Linked DNA regions of Schizosaccharomyces pombe. The protein of the gene in region 1 interacts with the protein of each later gene in a biochemical or structural test. Each region holds a gene or a part of one and is shown in the gene's direction. Other genes may lie near its edges.

Region 1 (5,252 bases):
AAATAATGGGAGTTTCACTTTCTTCAACTTCTTTTAAAACAGATTTGATACGCTCTTCAAATTCACCACGAAATTTGGAGCCGGCAACTAAGCTTCCGACGTCCAGGCTGAGAAGCTTACAATTCGAAAGATTAGCGGGGACATCATCGTCAATTATACGACGAGCAAGTCCTTCAGCAATGGAGGTCTTACCTACACCAGGCTCACCAATAAGAACTGGATTATTTTTCGTTCTTCTAGAAAGTACGCGAATTGTACGACGAATTTCATCTTCACGTCCGATAACTGGATCCAGTTGACCATTTCTAGCGAGCTCTGTAAGATCAACAGTAAATTTATTTAGTGCATCAAATCCTTCCTCGGCATTCTTTGAATCGATTCTTTTATTACCACGGACGTTATTTACAGCAAATTCAAACGCTTTCGGGGTGACACCGGCTTCTGCCAATAAACTCTTTAGCGTGTCGTCTTTAGTGAACACAGCGATAAAATGATCTTGAGCAATGTAAGAATCTTTTTGTGTTTTTTGAAGTTCATGAGCATTTCGCAGCAGTTTCGCACTTTCAGGTGACAGAGTCACTTGTTCTGGAGGTGGATCCTGAGCAGGCAAGCGAACTAACCGACTAGTAACACTTCGCTCAAACTTTTGACCATCACCACCAGCTTTGTCGACGATGGTGCGCAGTAAGGTAGTACCGTTACTGTCACTGTCGGACAAAAGAGCAGCAGCAATGTGAATAGGGGTTAATTGTGAATGACCATAAGATTGTGCAATTGAGTACGCATCAGACAATGTCTTTGCGGCTTTGTCAGTAAAAGGATAATCAGCCATATCGAGTTATATTATTATAGGAATTTTTATAATTTATAGATAAATCCAAAAAAAAGGAATTGTATATTTGTCGCTCGTTATAAAACAAAAAAGAGAGAGTCGTTGAACGGTAAATATATACGGTTTTCAGTTCGATTTAATAAGAACTTAATATCGTTATTATAATAAATTCTTCGGTTATAGATTGATGGTTGAGGATGCCGCAGGTAGAGAAGCTGTGCATATATATACACGATGATGTTACTATGGGAAGGAAAGGAACATACCAGAAGATGCCAGTTACATTGTTACTCGAACCTACTCCTACACTCTAGAAAAAGAAAGGGATAAAGTAGGGTAAATCCCAAAGACATGACTAGAAGATTTAAAAAAATAAGAGAAAAATAGCTTAAAAAAAAACCGGTGTAAATTAAAAATGCAGTTACCTTAAAAGTCTTTGAATTGTCTTTAAACATGGAATACTCGAAACCCGGAAATGATCTGCGTATTACGTAGTGTATGGAACAACGTAAAGACGGATACTAACCTCAACTTATTCTCAATTGCATCTTGCTAAATACCGTTAGAATTCATCAATGACTGAATAAATAATTTTTTGATACATAGTTCTTCTATTACAGAGATTCTAGTCATATTTCCAAGCTATTTCTAAGATAGAGCTCTTACATTACTTATTCTATACGGTAGCGATTATTCGTCGTAATGACATTTAACGAACTTTAGTTACTTGACCATAGTGGTTTATAAACTAAACAAACCAACAGTGAATTCTTGTTAACGTAACTGTAATCTACGAATATTGAGAAGAAAAAAAAACGAATGAATTTGTTGTGAATACATATTTTTTCCTTAGCGAACAAGTATACTTCATTCTTATTTTCATACCTCTTTAGTCTTATTTAAACCAGCAATAAAATTCGTTTTAAGTTTTCCGTGTTAATACCAATTAAAATAACGTTTTTTTCAATCATTTTATATGTCATTGCAACGTGAAAATAAGTTAATAAATTTCGGTAGCAGCTAATATGGAAAATGTACAATTTACTTGATACATTAGTGTAGCCTAAATTTTATTTGATCCTGGAAAGTATATTAAGGTAGAACGCGAAAGCTCTCCTAGTTTACGCCGTAAATTGTAATGACTCGCTGATTACATTTGGCTTATTATAATCCGTATAGCTAGAAAATTTCGATAACTGAATATTGCTTCTTTAAAAAGACATAAATAGAACCGTGAATTAGTACAGCAAACGAAAGATAAAAATTTCATAGTAACATGCAAATACTATTTTTTCAGTTAGTTTTCCATAATTTTGTATAATATTTCATATCAAACGCATCTAAAAAGTACGGACGAAATTACTTGCTATTGTAAAAATAAAAAAAATAACAAAACAAATTATAATAACGTGAACTGCTATTTTGGTCTCATATATGAAAGGTTCTTGAGATTTTTTACGTTGTCAGCTAGCAATTTTACGCACACTATTCTGTGCTACGCGCTCTTTGACTACTTCCCAAAAGCCAACTACAAAAGGTTTTTGCAGTAACCTTTGTTAGCTATTCTTTATATCTCTTATCTAGCTTGTATAAAATATAATTACGACTATGCTTGAAGCTAGATTTCAGCAGGCTGCTTTGTTGAAAAAGCTTCTCGATGCCATCAAGGAGTTAGTTACAGATGCTAATGTATGTAAGGGGCAGCATATAAATAAAGATGCTCAACGACAAAGCCTTTCTTTTTTTTAAAAAAAATATATTTATTAACTTCTTTTGAATGATTCTCTAACCTCATAACAGTTTGATTGCAATGACAACGGTATCTCTCTGCAGGCTATGGATAGTTCTCATGTAGCCCTTGTTTCTATGCTTATTAAATCAGATGGATTTGAACCATATCGGTGTGATAGAAATATTGCTTTAGGTATAAATCTGAACGCCTTATCAAAGGTCTTACGGTGTGCCCAAAACGAGGATTTGGTTACTTTAAAGGCTGAAGATACACCTGAGGTATTGAATTTGGTTTTCGAGAGCGAGAAAAATGACAGGATCTCTGATTATGATGTTAAATTAATGGACATTGATCAAGAACACTTGGGTATACCAGATATCGAATACGATGCTACTATTACTATGCCTGCTGCCGAATTTCAACGCATTACTCGAGATTTATTAACTTTGAGTGATTCAGTAACAATCAATGCTAGTAAAGAGGGTGTTCGTTTTAGCTGCAAGGGAGATATTGGTAATGGTAGTACCACGCTGAAACAACATACCGATCTTTCTGACCAAGATCAAAGTATCGAAATTTCTCTTACCCAAGCTGTAACACTTACGTTTTCTTTGAAATATTTAGCCCAGTTCACTAAGGCTACTCCTTTAGCTACCCGAGTCACACTTTCAATGAGCAATGATGTTCCACTTCTTGTGGAGTATAAAATGGAATCCGGATTTTTACGATTTTATCTTGCCCCAAAAATTGGTGAGGAGGATGAGGAGTAGATTACGGAATCAATATCTTTTAGTAATCTCTTTGCAATTGACGAGCTAGCATCATTATAAACATACTTTTGTTTACTTTTTAATTCAACCTTTTTTGTACTGCTCCTTCCCTAACATTCATATCCAAACAGGCAAAATACCAGCTTTTACTTAAAAAAAATCAAATTCTTTAGAACCAACAAACTGAAGGGTAGAAAAACTTGTGTTCTTAGTGATGATTTTTCACAGATAACTTCGTAATCATCTGCTGTAGCTTGTTGATTTAAGTCTAGTACATGATATAATACATTGATATGTAAATTAGCTTAATTCTGAGAATTTATTCTAACTGATAATTGTATACTTATATGGCTAACCGCGTAAGAGCCTCGGAGGGACAGTTCGCCCAAATACTACCAACGCTACCACCAGTAGCAGCAAGGCGTAAAAGTTACTTAAAGAAGATAGAATTCCTTACTCTCTATACTGCCAACTTTTCGTAATAATTTATATATTTTACTATTTGGCTATATTTGAAATTTTTAGCGTTGAATATACTATGGCAGGAGATAGTGTGAAAAGTGCAATCATTGGGATTGCTGGGGGTCCTTTTTCTGGAAAGGTATTTTATTAAAATATTTTTTTCTTAATTCTAATACTTTAATACTAGACACAACTCTGTGAGCAATTACTTGAACGTTTAAAGTCATCAGCACCTTCAACTTTTTCTAAATTGATCCATCTTACTTCATTTCTTTATCCCAATTCTGTCGACAGGTATGCACTTTCCTCTTACGATATTGAAGCGTTTAAAAAAGTTCTTTCTTTGATTTCTCAAGGAGCCGAGAAAATATGTTTGCCAGATGGTTCTTGTATAAAGCTACCTGTAGACCAGAATAGAATTATTCTAATCGAAGGTTACTATCTTCTTCTTCCCGAATTGCTGCCCTACTATACGTCTAAAATTTTTGTATATGAAGATGCAGATACTCGTTTGGAACGCTGCGTTTTACAGAGGGTCAAAGCAGAAAAAGGAGACTTAACCAAAGTTTTGAACGATGTAAGGGTTTTTCTTCTAGGTTTATTCTAATTTCTTTTAGTTTGTAACTTTGTCTAAACCTGCATACGACTCTTCGATTCATCCAGTATGTTAAACTCTTATTTGCTGTTGTATACTAATTATTGGAAGACTCGAGAGAACGCTGATATTATACTCCCTCAAAAAGAAAACATTGACACAGCCCTACTTTTTGTAAGCCAACATCTTCAAGATATCCTCGCGGAAATGAACAAAACAAGTTCATCAAATACGGTGAAATATGATACTCAGCATGAAACATATATGAAGTTGGCGCATGAAATGGTAAGCTCAATTTCCTACATATTAACAACTAAAAGTCCTAAATTTAGGCCCGTACTTCGTTATCCAACCGAGAAGTCCCGGTAGTTGCGTCTTTGTATATAAAGGAGAAGTAATAGGCCGTGGTTTTAATGAAACTAACTGCAGCCTCTCGGTAAGCCTTATTTTAATATGCCTTTGCTGACGATGATAAAGGGGATTCGACATGCTGAACTTATCGCTATAGAAAAAATTTTAGAACACTACCCAGCATCTGTTTTCAAAGAAACCACTTTATACGTGACTGTTGAACCGTGTCTAATGTGTGCTGCTGCATTAAAACAGCTTCACATAAAAGCCGTGTATTTTGGATGCGGCAACGATAGGTTTGGCGGATGTGGAAGCGTATTTTCCATTAACAAGGAGTATGTGAATTTATCAGTTCGTTTTTGCTTACGATTTATGACAGCCAATCTATTGATCCGAGCTATCCAGTTTATCCAGGGTTATTTTACTCTGAAGCTGTGATGTTAATGCGCGAATTTTACGTTCAAGAAAATGTAAAAGCACCAGTGCCACAAAGTAAAAAACAACGAGTAT
Region 2 (5,933 bases), 2.6 Mb from region 1:
TAAGGTACGTAACGTATAGCATTAGCCATACCAACGACTTTAGACATTTCTTTAGTGTCATGTACACGTACAATACTTACTCCTTGTAAAACACTAGCTGTAACACAAGCTGAAGTACCCCATATACGGTCTTTGGGGCTAGCGTCTCCAGTAAAGTAACCAGTAAACCCTTTACGGCTTGGACCCGAAAGCCAATGCATATCTTTAAACTGCGGTTTTTTCATCAGTTCATGAAGTCTTCCTAATAAACCGGCACTTTGTTTAGGTGTTTTTGCAAATCCAAAGCCAGGATCCAGTATAATATTGTATCGATGAACGCCGGACTGAACCGCAGCTTCCACGCGAGACGACAACTCGACAGCAACTTCTTCAACGATATCTTTTTCATATATTGAAAGTGCTTTCATAGTTTCTGGTGTCCCTCTCATATGCATAATACAAATGGGCACCTGTAAACTTGCAGCTAATGGTAACATTTTCTCATCACCCATCCCTCCAGTCACATCATTAATAATATTAGCACCTGCCTCAATGGCTAGTTTTGCAACTTTTGAATAATAAGTATCGATACTGATGGGTACTGTAATCCCTGAGCTTCGAAGTAAACTAATCATAGGTATTACTCTTCTGAGTTCTTCCTCAACAGACACGGGATCAGCTCCAGGTTTAGTAGACTGCCCACCTATATCTAGGATAGAAGCACCATCTCCAACCATACTTTTTGCTTTTTCAAGGATATTATTCTGCGAGACTTTACCACCATCAGAAAACGAGTCGGGGGTCACGTTCAAAATTCCCATTGTTAAGGCGCCATTAATGATTTTTTTGTTGTCAAAAGATGAGTACAATCTTATTCCTTGTGAAGGCAATTTATCAAGAGCTTCTTGTAAGGGCTGATGGGTATAAGGGTGTACTAAGTCTGGGCTCAAGGCCAGCAATGGACGTAAAACAAACTCACGTTCTTGCAGCCCTAAATGGGGAATAGTCAAAACTTCTGATTCATAAACACAATCTTCGTACAAGACAATATCGAGATCTATACACCTTGGTCCTTTTAAAATTGTTTTGATTCGACCCATTTCTTGTTCAATGGATTGACAAGCTCTTAAAAGATTGATAGGCGACATTCTGGTTTCAATTTTGCAAACACCGTTCAAAAAAGAAGGTTGGTCTTTATAATACATCGGCTCTGTTTCGTACAAAGGGGAAACATCCAACACACGAATACCCTCTATTTTATGCAACATAGATAATGCTGTTTGGATTTGCTCAAATTTGTCACCAATATTTGAACCAAAAGACAAATAAGCAATTTTGTTCTTAGTGGATTCGTATTTATGCAGAGACTCTTGTAAAAAGTACGACCGTGTTCGATAAATTTGCACCGCAGAAGCATTGGCGAATGTGATAGCACTAGGTTTCTCAGCTTTAATGCTTATATCGTCTAGATTCTTTGTAAAACAAAGATACTTTGAAAGATTGACAACCAAAGCTTCTATAGTCAGGAAAGCAGATTGTTCGACATATTCGGCGATTGCGCGCGCGATCTCTAAAGCTTCGACCTCCGTATTTGCAAATGATATATTTAAGCAAACTCTTTGCTTCTCTTGTCGTTCAAATGCGTGAATTCCTAATATCGTAGCTAACTCCAAATCCGAGAATTCAATACGATCTACAAAGTTACTGGTAGAATTGCGTTCGCGCTCAGCATAATAGTGCAATCCATTTTTAGACCTTAAAACACATTTGGGTAAAGTAAGCTTAATAGAAACATGCGAGGTATCAATAACGTCTTCAAAACATAAACTTGCAATTTTATTGACCAAATCTTTAGGGGTTGTAAAAAAAGACCCTTCAATTTCTTTTCGTAATAGCTTAGAAGCTATACCGTAATGAATCGTTGATTTTAACTCGTCTTTTTCTCCAGCTAACTGAACATTGTTTCTCATATATACATCAATTTGCACTGGCTGAGGTTCCTTTCTTTTCCATTGGTCTTGACCCACTACAGCAAATGTGTTAAGATTTTCAACTACGACAGTGTCATGTATCAAGTCCATTTGTCTAGTAGGATGTCGTAGAGATGAGAAGCGGAGTTGTCTGGGGATAGTGCTGACTATTCTAGGTATTTTGGCAAAACCATGGAGAGAATTATTTCTAATGAATGGATAGATTCCCCAAAGGTTTACTAAACTTTTCATGAGAGTTTAAAGAATTGATTATCTATATTGGAAGTATTTGCTGAAGCGACCAACACCATGATAAGTAAGAATAAGCAATACCTACGGTATCCTGATGTCAATTATCTAAAATGAAGGCATATGGGATAAAGAATTGTAGCATTATTTGACTGTTATTAAATTTAATTCATTATTGAATACAGCTGGGAATATGTATATACTCTGATCATTTCTATGGAGCATAGAGCGATACTGAGAAATAATATTATAAGAGATTTGTCAGATGACTACATTAATGTGCTACAAATCATTATACCCGAAAATAGAAATAAGGGAGAATCAAGTTTGATTAAATATAAAACATTCCAACAACTTTGTGAAACTCAACCTTACGCTATCAGCTTAAAAGCAGAAGGAAATTAGTAGAGAAAAAAAATCAAATTGCCATGTTCAAAATTAATAAAATTTGAAAAACATTCTACTAAAAAATGCCGTAAATTACTAAATCAATTTCTGTCAGCGTTGATGAAGTAACTTCCCATTCAATTTTAAATCTTTCATTAGCATACTTCTATGAACTGGATAGCAGCAGTAATTGAACATGCGATGTCAATATTTAGATTTTAAATATTTTACATATTGTAAATGTAGTTAAGCATGTATACTCCATTAATGAAAATGTAATCTTTCATACATATTTCGTCTGCGCTGGCTTCAGTACTTAGCCTACCTTAGGATTGTTCCCACTAATTTTCAATTTCGTTGATTTTACACACTGCTTCTTATTCTCGTAAATACCACTTTCCTAAGGAATACTTAGCGGAAAAAGAAATTTCTAAAAAAATGGAGGAATGGAGAAACTTCTTAGATATTAAAGTTATCAATGAATCTTCACTTGTAAGATATGAAATTTCAACAAGAATTTGAATGTCTAACTGTATAAAAGGTAACTGTAGATAATTTAAGTCTGCAATTGGATATATCCAGTGAAAAAGCACAAGAGTAAGGAACAATACGCATTATTTTTTATTTTTATTATTAATAATTCATACTTTCAGATATCTTAATATGTTTTATCAAGGCAACGATTTTTTGTATCCTATATACCTTATTCATGGACAACCTATAGATGATGAAATTAATTTGGAAATTGACGAGGAATCTCAACCTATATCTAATTTTCCTGTTTTGCAATACATTTTGTGTGATAAGTCTTCTCTACAAGGTTTGTTATTGTCAATTCCGATCATTCGATAGCAGATTCGCTAACTATTTGTAGAGAAACAAAGTAGATTGAAAAGTGGGTATAAAACTGTTATATTTGCTCTTTCATCTGCTCCATTAAGTGTAAGTATTCGATAAGCTGTATTTTATATTGTTACAAACTAATTGATTTAATTAAGGATTTTGACGAATTATTACCTGCAGTATATGAAATAAGAGAGAAAGATGTTTTATACAAAAAAGAAGATGCTGATAAGTATGGATTTATTTTCAATGAAAATTCCGTGGTAAGTAATTTATATCACAACAATCGTTGTTTGACATTCGATCCTTCCGTCTTCGGAAGACTAACTTATTGTAGCCTCGTGTTTTGAAAAAGGCACCTTCAACTCATTCCCCCCAATTATCTGTTCCCTCAAAGACATCGACAATCGATAAGACTGACACACGTAGTACAGAAAAGACTAAAGGGAAAGATATTTTCAGTAATGCAAGGAACCAAAAGGGAAACTCATCTCGTAAAAATAAAAAAGCTCCTCTTGAAAATCATAAAGAAAAGGAGCCTCTCTTGCCAAAGGAGGAGAAGTTGTCTGAGCAAGCAAAGAGAGAGCGCGATGATCTGAAAAATATTATGCAGCTAGAAGATGAATCAGTATCTACCACTAGCGTTCACGATTCTGAAGATGATAATTTAGATTCTAATAATTTCCAATTGGAAATTGGTACCGAAGCAAAATCTGCTGCACCTGACGAACCTCAGGAAATTATCAAATCCGTATCCGGTGGAAAGAGACGTGGGAAAAGAAAAGTTAAAAAGTACGCGACAACGAAAGATGAAGAAGGATTCTTGGTTACTAAGGAAGAAGAAGTCTGGGAATCATTTTCTGAAGATGAAAACATCTCAACTGGTACTTCAAATGTTGTTAGAAACAAACCGACTACTGTAAACATTGCAACTAAGAAGAAGAATACTGCACAAAGTAAACCACAACAAAAGTCTATTATGTCCTTTTTTGGAAAGAAATAAGTTACTATTCATTTTCGATAGTATTAAAACATGTGTTCACGAAGTCCCTTCAATTCTCATGCAAGCTATTATCAGGAGTTTTATTCATATAGAAAAACTGTTAATGTTAGTACAACCTTTAATCCTAATCTACTGTTTTTAGTTTTGTTTACACTATTCACAACCAACTATGTAAGTCTAAGAGAAGTCGAAATCAATTATCAATACATCTTTTAATTTTAAATATCATAAATAAATATGTTTCCTCAAAGCATAGAAGAATCGATTCTTTTTTTTATTAGAAGTATTAAATACTCCATACATTAATGAACCACAATGCGTTAATGTGCGTTAACTACAACACATAATTTGAAAGTTGAACTTCATATTTAGTCAAAGCCTTGTATATTGGAAGTAGTCATGGGCAAAAAGCAGACGAAGCCTATTAATGCTAAATCAAGGAGTGAAAGCAACGTAGTTGCGGATCCTAGATTTCAATCAGTTCACTCTGATCCTAGATTTTCTAGACTTAAACGTGGCAATTTTAAAGTAAAAGTTGATGAGCGGTTTAAATCTCTCAAGGAGGATAAGGACTTTAAAACTACTGCCAGTGTTGATCGATATGGCCGTCCTCTCAACCAAGATAAGGCTACTAAAGAGATTGATAGACTGTATGAACTGGAAAATGAAGGGTCGTCCAGTTCGTCTGAATCATCGGAAATTACTGACAACGAAGAAGTCGCTTCAGCGTCTTCGAAATCCACAAAATCGGAAGAATTAACCGATGAGGAGTCCGAAGATGAGGAAGTATATGATCCAGCTCGTGGTGAGGGAATTATTAGTACTTCGGAAAGTAGCGATGAAAGCGACGCTGAAAGTGAAACTGAAGCTCAACCGGAGATATCCGAATTAGCTGGAATCGAGCCAGAAGAGAATATTCCTCGTGGTTCAGAAACTAACCGTCTTGCTGTAGTAAACATGGATTGGGATAATCTTCAAGCAGTTGATCTTTTTGTTGCTCTTTCTTCTTTTTGTCCTCCTGGTGGGAAGTTACTGAAAGTGTCGATTTATCCCAGTGAATTTGGAAAATCCAGAATGGCTGCGGAACATGTTCAGGGTCCTCCACGTGATATATTTACTCCAGCTGACAATCAACCTTCTAGCGCCGAATTGCATGAGGCTCAAAAATTTGGTTTTGATAACAATGAGTCTGATCAAGATGAGGAAGATGCTTTAATAGAGGAGGATTTAGGCAACGAGTTTGATATGGTAAAATTACGCCAGTATCAATTAGAAAGGCTTCGTTACTATTACGCAGTAGTGGAATGTGATAGTGTAAGAACGGCAAAGGTTATATACGAAACTTGTGATGGCGCTGAGTATGAAACTAGCGCTAATATTTACGATTTAAGATTCATTCCAGATGATGTTACATTTGACGACGATGAATCTCGCGAAGTATGTACTAAAGCGCCCGAAAAATATGAGCCGAGAGATTTTGTCACCGATGCATTGCAACATTC
Region 3 (5,697 bases), on another chromosome or scaffold:
TACAAAATCTGAGGAAGAGAAGTTGGAAAATGATTTTGAGTATTCTTTTGATTTAGAAGATTTCAGCAGTGAGAATTTTAGACAGTACGATCGTGGAGATTTGCTAGTGTTTTATAGGGGCTCCGAAGGCATTGAACTTGCTGCATGCACTGGTACTAATGTTTGGAACTATAGTAATGTATTGACCAGCATTAACGAAAACGGTACTATTAAGGAATTTCGTACATCTAGAGTTTTACTGAGATGTCCTAATGTCTTTAAAAAGCTGAAAGAGGTGCAGCAACCTCTTTCTGATGTTTCTGTTCCTTCTGATGTCCTACCTTTCACTATAAAGTTATTAAAAAAAATCTCTCAAAGAGCACAAGATTTAAGTCGAAGTCACCGAAATGAATTTTTGCGAATATTGACAGAATTCAATATTCCAAATAAACTTGACAATTCAGCTTCTTTTTCAGACCTTTTGAAATTTGTGTACAAAACTTCGAAGCCTAGCCCATATGCTAAAATCTCATTGTTACACTTTTTGCTTACAGAAAGCAAACATTTTTTAATAAGCGATCACATATTTTCCGAAATTCAAAAAGTCTATTTCCTTCCCTCTTCACAAAATGATTCTTTTGACGACGTTGTTGCATGCCTGCGTCAGAAATCAACACCATATCTTTCGTTTATAAAGAAAGCTCGTCATTTAATTCAAGTTTCCCGAGATAAATATAAGTTACCTATAAGCACCGAAGAAATAAAACCCGTAGTTTATTCACAGGTCACTTGGACTGAATTTGAAAAAAAACTATTGCGGTATCTTGTTCAGGAAATGATTGCAAAAAGTATTCAAAGTTTACCAAATACACACTTGTGTCAGGTTTACAAAGAAGTTGGCCTTCAAACTCACGAGAGGGGATTAACTAGTGATCAGTTTGCTAAATTCTTAACGGATATTGGCGTGTGGGCTTCATGGCAGCCCCCGAGGTTGTTTCAACAGGAATACAGCATTGCTGGCCTTGGTACTAATCCTCAGTTAGATGCTGTGTATGAACGTGAGTGTAATCACTTTAAAAAGTTTGTAAAAAATGAATTAAAAGATTCACTTGAATCGCAACGCGTCGATTTAAGGCATCTTAAAGCGTTCGCCTTTGATAGTTCTTCTACGAAAGAGATAGATGATGCGATTTCGGTTGAAGAATTAGGGATGTCTAATTCCTGGCTTCATATCCATGTTGCTAATCCTACGAGTACAGTTGACATTCGCAGTCCTTTAGGCACGTTTGCTGAAAGGAACTTTCAAACTATTTATCATCCCAACAAAATTGTGTATATGCTACCTCTCAATATCACTCAGAAATATTGGAGTTTAGATTCATCTTCTACAGCTCAAAGAGCATTAACTTTTAGTGCTAAAATTTCAAAAAATGGCGATATACTTGATTACAAGGTTCGGCCTAGCTTCATTTCCTCAGTTATCAAATACACACCCCAACAACTGGATAAAGCTTTGCATAGTAATCGATCAATTGCGAAAGACATCGTTTCTGGACCAGTGGATGAGGAAACAAAAGGAGTATCAAATGATCACATGAAAGATATATTAAGAATATATGAACTTTCGAAACAAGCCTGTTTTTCTAGGTTACAAAAGTTTGCGTTTGTTATTGCACAACCCACTCCGACAGTTGAATTGCTGCCTAATAATGTCCCTTATAATCTTGGTGATCTGAATCATCCAGTATACTGGTCTTCCTTCCCTACAATTAGTTTGAACGTTAGTGAAGGGTATAGCTTGGCAGAATCAGTAATATCAGAGTGCATGATATTGGCTGGCCGGGTTTCATCATTATTTTTTCAAGAACATAAATTACCTGGGATTTTTAGGGGCCAGCCTTATCCAATTATGGATGGTGTACGAAGAAAAGCGTTTGAAACTTTGTTAAGTAACAGGTCATCTTGGGGACTCGTTGAAACTAAGTATTCACTTTCTGTAATGCCTTTATTTGAAAGTTCACATTTAGCCTCCACACCTGTTTCCCACTTTTCTTTGGGGCTAAAGGATGGCTATATTCAGTCTACCTCTCCTTTACGCCGGTTTACCGACTTCTTCACTCATCATCAGATTCAGTCGGTATTATTAAAGACTCCAAAAAATACTATACCTGATGGTATTCTTCGTGGAAAACTAAATTTGTACAACCAAAAAGAAAAATCAATTAAAACTATAGGAAGATACATTAATCGTTTCTGGGCCTTAAAATATATAGAGAGACTTCCAAAGGTACAAAAAAATATTTATCATGGATATTTAATGGTTTCAGAACTTTCAACACCTCAGGTCATGTTGGAAGAATTGGGTGTTAAAGCGCATATTGATATTCTCCCGGACGAAGCATTCCGGTTAGCAAATACTCGCCAGGCATTTACAATTAAGGATGTCTTTCCGGAGTCTAATATCCTATTAGTTGCTTTAGCGACCTAACAAACTTATTAAAACTATTTTTATGGATATAATTTTACTTAATTAAATACTCAATCCTGCATTTTATCAATTTACCGAGACTTAACGATATAAATAAATTATGTTTTGGGATTTGATAGTAACCTGTTTCGCCAAAACTCATCTCAAAAACCAACAGGTAGTTTTACTATGAAGTCTCTTTGTTAACCTTGACTCTTGTGATTAAAATATATTTTCTTTTTCTATTTTTTGTAAGACAAGAAGCAAATGTCTTTGGATGCTTATAAATCCATCGACGAAGTGTGCTGCGTTGTTTAAAATCTAAGTTAAGAAAAATGATTGAATCTAAAGGTGAAACAGCACCCTCTTTAAATTTAAACGACGTTAATGTTGAAGAAAATGATGCTGCGCAAAGTTTTGCAGAGAAGGTTCAGCGGTTTCGATACCAGATGAAAGTCCATGCAGCACCGCGACAGAAAACGCTGCATTCTTTCCTGAAAAAGGATAATGCTAATATTCATGACTTTACTAAAGTTGAGAAACCACACATTCGTTCTTCTAAATCGAAGGTTTCTTATAACAGTATTACATCAAGAGTTACCAAATATTTTGAAGAAAAAAATAATTCCGTTGATCAATTGCATTCAGAAAGCTTGACCCCATTAAGCTTTGGCCATACCATTCCCAAGAAAAAGCCGTTACTTATGACGGCTTCTGTTTCAGAAGATTCTAGAGTTCGTGTTAGTAAGAGACAATTTAAGTCCAAAGTTGTTCATCCAGAAATTGCTATTTCTATTGCTAAAAGGCATAAGCCAAAGTTTCCTCTGTCTGATGAACTCATGAATGTCGAACCTGGGTTCCACCACAGCAATATCGGTTGTCAAATTACGCCTTACTTATGGATATCATCATTTAGAACTAATGTCTATTACCTAATTGGAAATGAGGGTGACTTATTGTCCCAACAAGTACCTTCGATAAGTGGGGAGTTAAACATGTTGAGAGGAGTATGCACCCGTATCGATGATGATAATCGCTATGATATTGAACAAGCTGGTTCTTGTTTTGGTATGTCGGTATTTCCAACCTCTGATTCTGGAGAAGAGTCTTTTACCACCCTTGAGTCCGATCCGATAGTTAATTGCGAACACGATGAAAAGAAAGTTGCTGATAATCTCCTGGTTCCTCAAGTAATGTGTTCTTCTAATATTTCAACGTTCTTTCGAAGCCCTGGTGGAAAAAAGTTGTATCATTATTTATGGAAAAATTCAAATGCCCTACGTATTTCCTCAAACGACCTTCTCGAAATACTTTTAAAGCACGGTGTTTATGTATCTTTGGACACTCTGCACTCGTGGCTTCAGGAAAGAAACGTAAATTTTGAAAAGTGAAATATTTATGTTAGACTAAGTATAGCAAACTTTTGGCGAGCTGGTCCCGTAATGATGATTTAATGTACGTTATATATCTAACAAGTCAAGAATATTATTTCAATAATTTTAAATGTATATATTTATGTGATAAGTTAGAACTAAAAATAACGAGTAGATAGCTTGTCTTAATTTTGAAGGACCAAAGCAGAAGGGACTTTATGACTCGAGTTTTAAACGTCTTTGAGAACGTTACTGAGTTCTTCTTGTCTTATTTGTTTTTTTTTATATCTCAATAGCGCTGTATGGTTTATAATATATGCATATAAAGCGCTAATGTTAGGACCTTTTCTTGAGCAGATTTGTCTTTGGAAAATAACGAAATAGTATATTATTATGTTATTTATTTAACGAGCCGGAAATTTTTCATAAAATTTCACTAACGTGCTGCGTAGTTAATCTTTATTATCTAATACTAGGACAAGGAACGCGAGAGCATGTGTTTGTCATTAACTACACACACGAGAAATAGCAATTTATGTGTTTCGCGTCTCTGGCCTACTTATATCTTACAAAGCATTCATTTTTTGAAACCTTCTTTTCTTTCTAAATAACTGCATTTGTAATTGCTCAAATTACCAACCCTGAGCAGTTAAAGTCTTTTTCAAATTTCGTTTCATAGAGAATCAAAAGAATTCAAGGTTGGATCTATTTATATTAAAATTTATTAGAATGTTTGTGTTTGGATAATAATGAAGCCTCGCCCGTACTCTGTTTTCCTCTTTCTTCATATCGTTTTTTACAGCCTTCTTTCAGCAGTGAATGGATCCCCAAGTTTGGATTATTTTGAGACTTGTTCAAACTTTGTACCGAGAGCAGGTATTCCTACCTTTAGCCCATATGCAGTTATCAAGAATTTTGATGAAGTGAATCGGATGTACTACATTCAAGTAGTGGGGAATTTATCCGGAGTTATAACGATTGTGGGTGGAAATGGCTCACATATTCACGCTGCTTCAGTTTATTCGGAAACTTATGCGTTAGGAAAACTGGTCACATCCAATACCACAAAGCTTTGTGATGTTGTTATGGATCCTCATTCTTTTGAAGTCCCCATAAAATGTCCTTGGGCAGCTGGAAGTGCCGCTTTCATGGTTAAAGTTCCCTTTAAATCCACCTTGTCCGATTACTCAAAATACGAATTGACTACATTAACAACGCGAGTAATCGTTGTTGACGGTACTCCCGAGAAAAATGTAATAACTTGTATGAAGTTTGGTTTGTCCACAACTTTGTATTATTTTTATCCAGTTATTTCATATTTGGTTGTTGTGTCGCTCGCATATGTCTCGTTTTCCATTATTTATGCTCTTTTTTTAAATCCATGGACCGGCAGTTTAGATCCATTTAAGTCGATTTTTAATTTTAATATGGACCCTGATGCTCTTCGTTTAACATCCCTTGGATTTTTTGATTTTGTGCAATACTTGCAATTTGCTGTTTCTACAGCTCAGGTTAGTGTTATGTTTCCAAAATTTTACATAAATATTATGGCTGCTCTTTCTTGGGGCACTGCTCTATTTCGATTTCCCATTTTCTCCGAGCCTGCTGAATATCAATTTGCAGACTTTGCCGACTTGTCTGTAGCATCCTCTAGTTATGCGGATTATTTGCCTAAGTCATATGGCATGTATTCGTTTCTCGATTCTATAGGAATAGGTACTGCATGCTGGCTTCCGTTTCTTATAGTCATGGTTATTTACTTATTTGCTGCGTTATTTGTAGCATTGTTGGTTATTTTTTTGAAATGGCTTATGTCTAGAATTTTCAATGAAACTATTGCCGAAACTCGGTGGGATACTTGGAGCTTCATTGCTGGTT

Evidence for each region.
Region 2: the proteins of pcn1 (region 1) and cdc27 form a complex in vitro, tested with the Schizosaccharomyces pombe proteins (2 studies listed by BioGRID, with this or other methods).
Region 3: the proteins of pcn1 (region 1) and pxd1 interact in a test that uses a peptide from one of them, tested with the Schizosaccharomyces pombe proteins (one study listed by BioGRID).

The regions. Positions count from the first base shown.
Region 1 is NC_003423.3:3,614,245-3,619,496, forward strand, and holds pcn1 (DNA polymerase delta processivity factor), read left to right. Parts: upstream 1-2,350; 5' UTR 2,351-2,440; coding exon 2,441-2,521; intron 2,522-2,630; exon of another isoform or gene 2,631-2,632; coding exon 2,633-3,334; 3' UTR 3,335-3,601; downstream 3,602-5,252. Other genes in the region: heat shock protein Hsp104, read right to left, coding at 1-832.
Region 2 is NC_003423.3:1,060,468-1,066,400, reverse strand, and holds cdc27 (DNA polymerase delta subunit Cdc27), read left to right. Parts: upstream 1-2,976; 5' UTR 2,977-3,023; coding exon 3,024-3,077; intron 3,078-3,126; coding exon 3,127-3,182; intron 3,183-3,238; coding exon 3,239-3,405; exon of another isoform or gene 3,406-3,459; coding exon 3,460-3,527; exon of another isoform or gene 3,528-3,583; coding exon 3,584-3,691; exon of another isoform or gene 3,692-3,765; coding exon 3,766-4,431; 3' UTR 4,432-4,683; downstream 4,684-5,933. Other genes in the region: fol1 (dihydropteroate synthase), read right to left, coding at 1-2,201; pre-rRNA processing protein Esf1, read left to right, coding at 4,831-5,933.
Region 3 is NC_003421.2:1,283,569-1,289,265, forward strand, and holds pxd1 (protein Pdx1), read left to right. Parts: upstream 1-2,597; 5' UTR 2,598-2,781; coding exon 2,782-3,837; 3' UTR 3,838-3,963; downstream 3,964-5,697. Other genes in the region: rpm1 (3' ssRNA-specific 3'-to-5' exonuclease), read left to right, coding at 1-2,467; trp1322 (TRP-like ion channel protein), read left to right, coding at 4,569-5,697.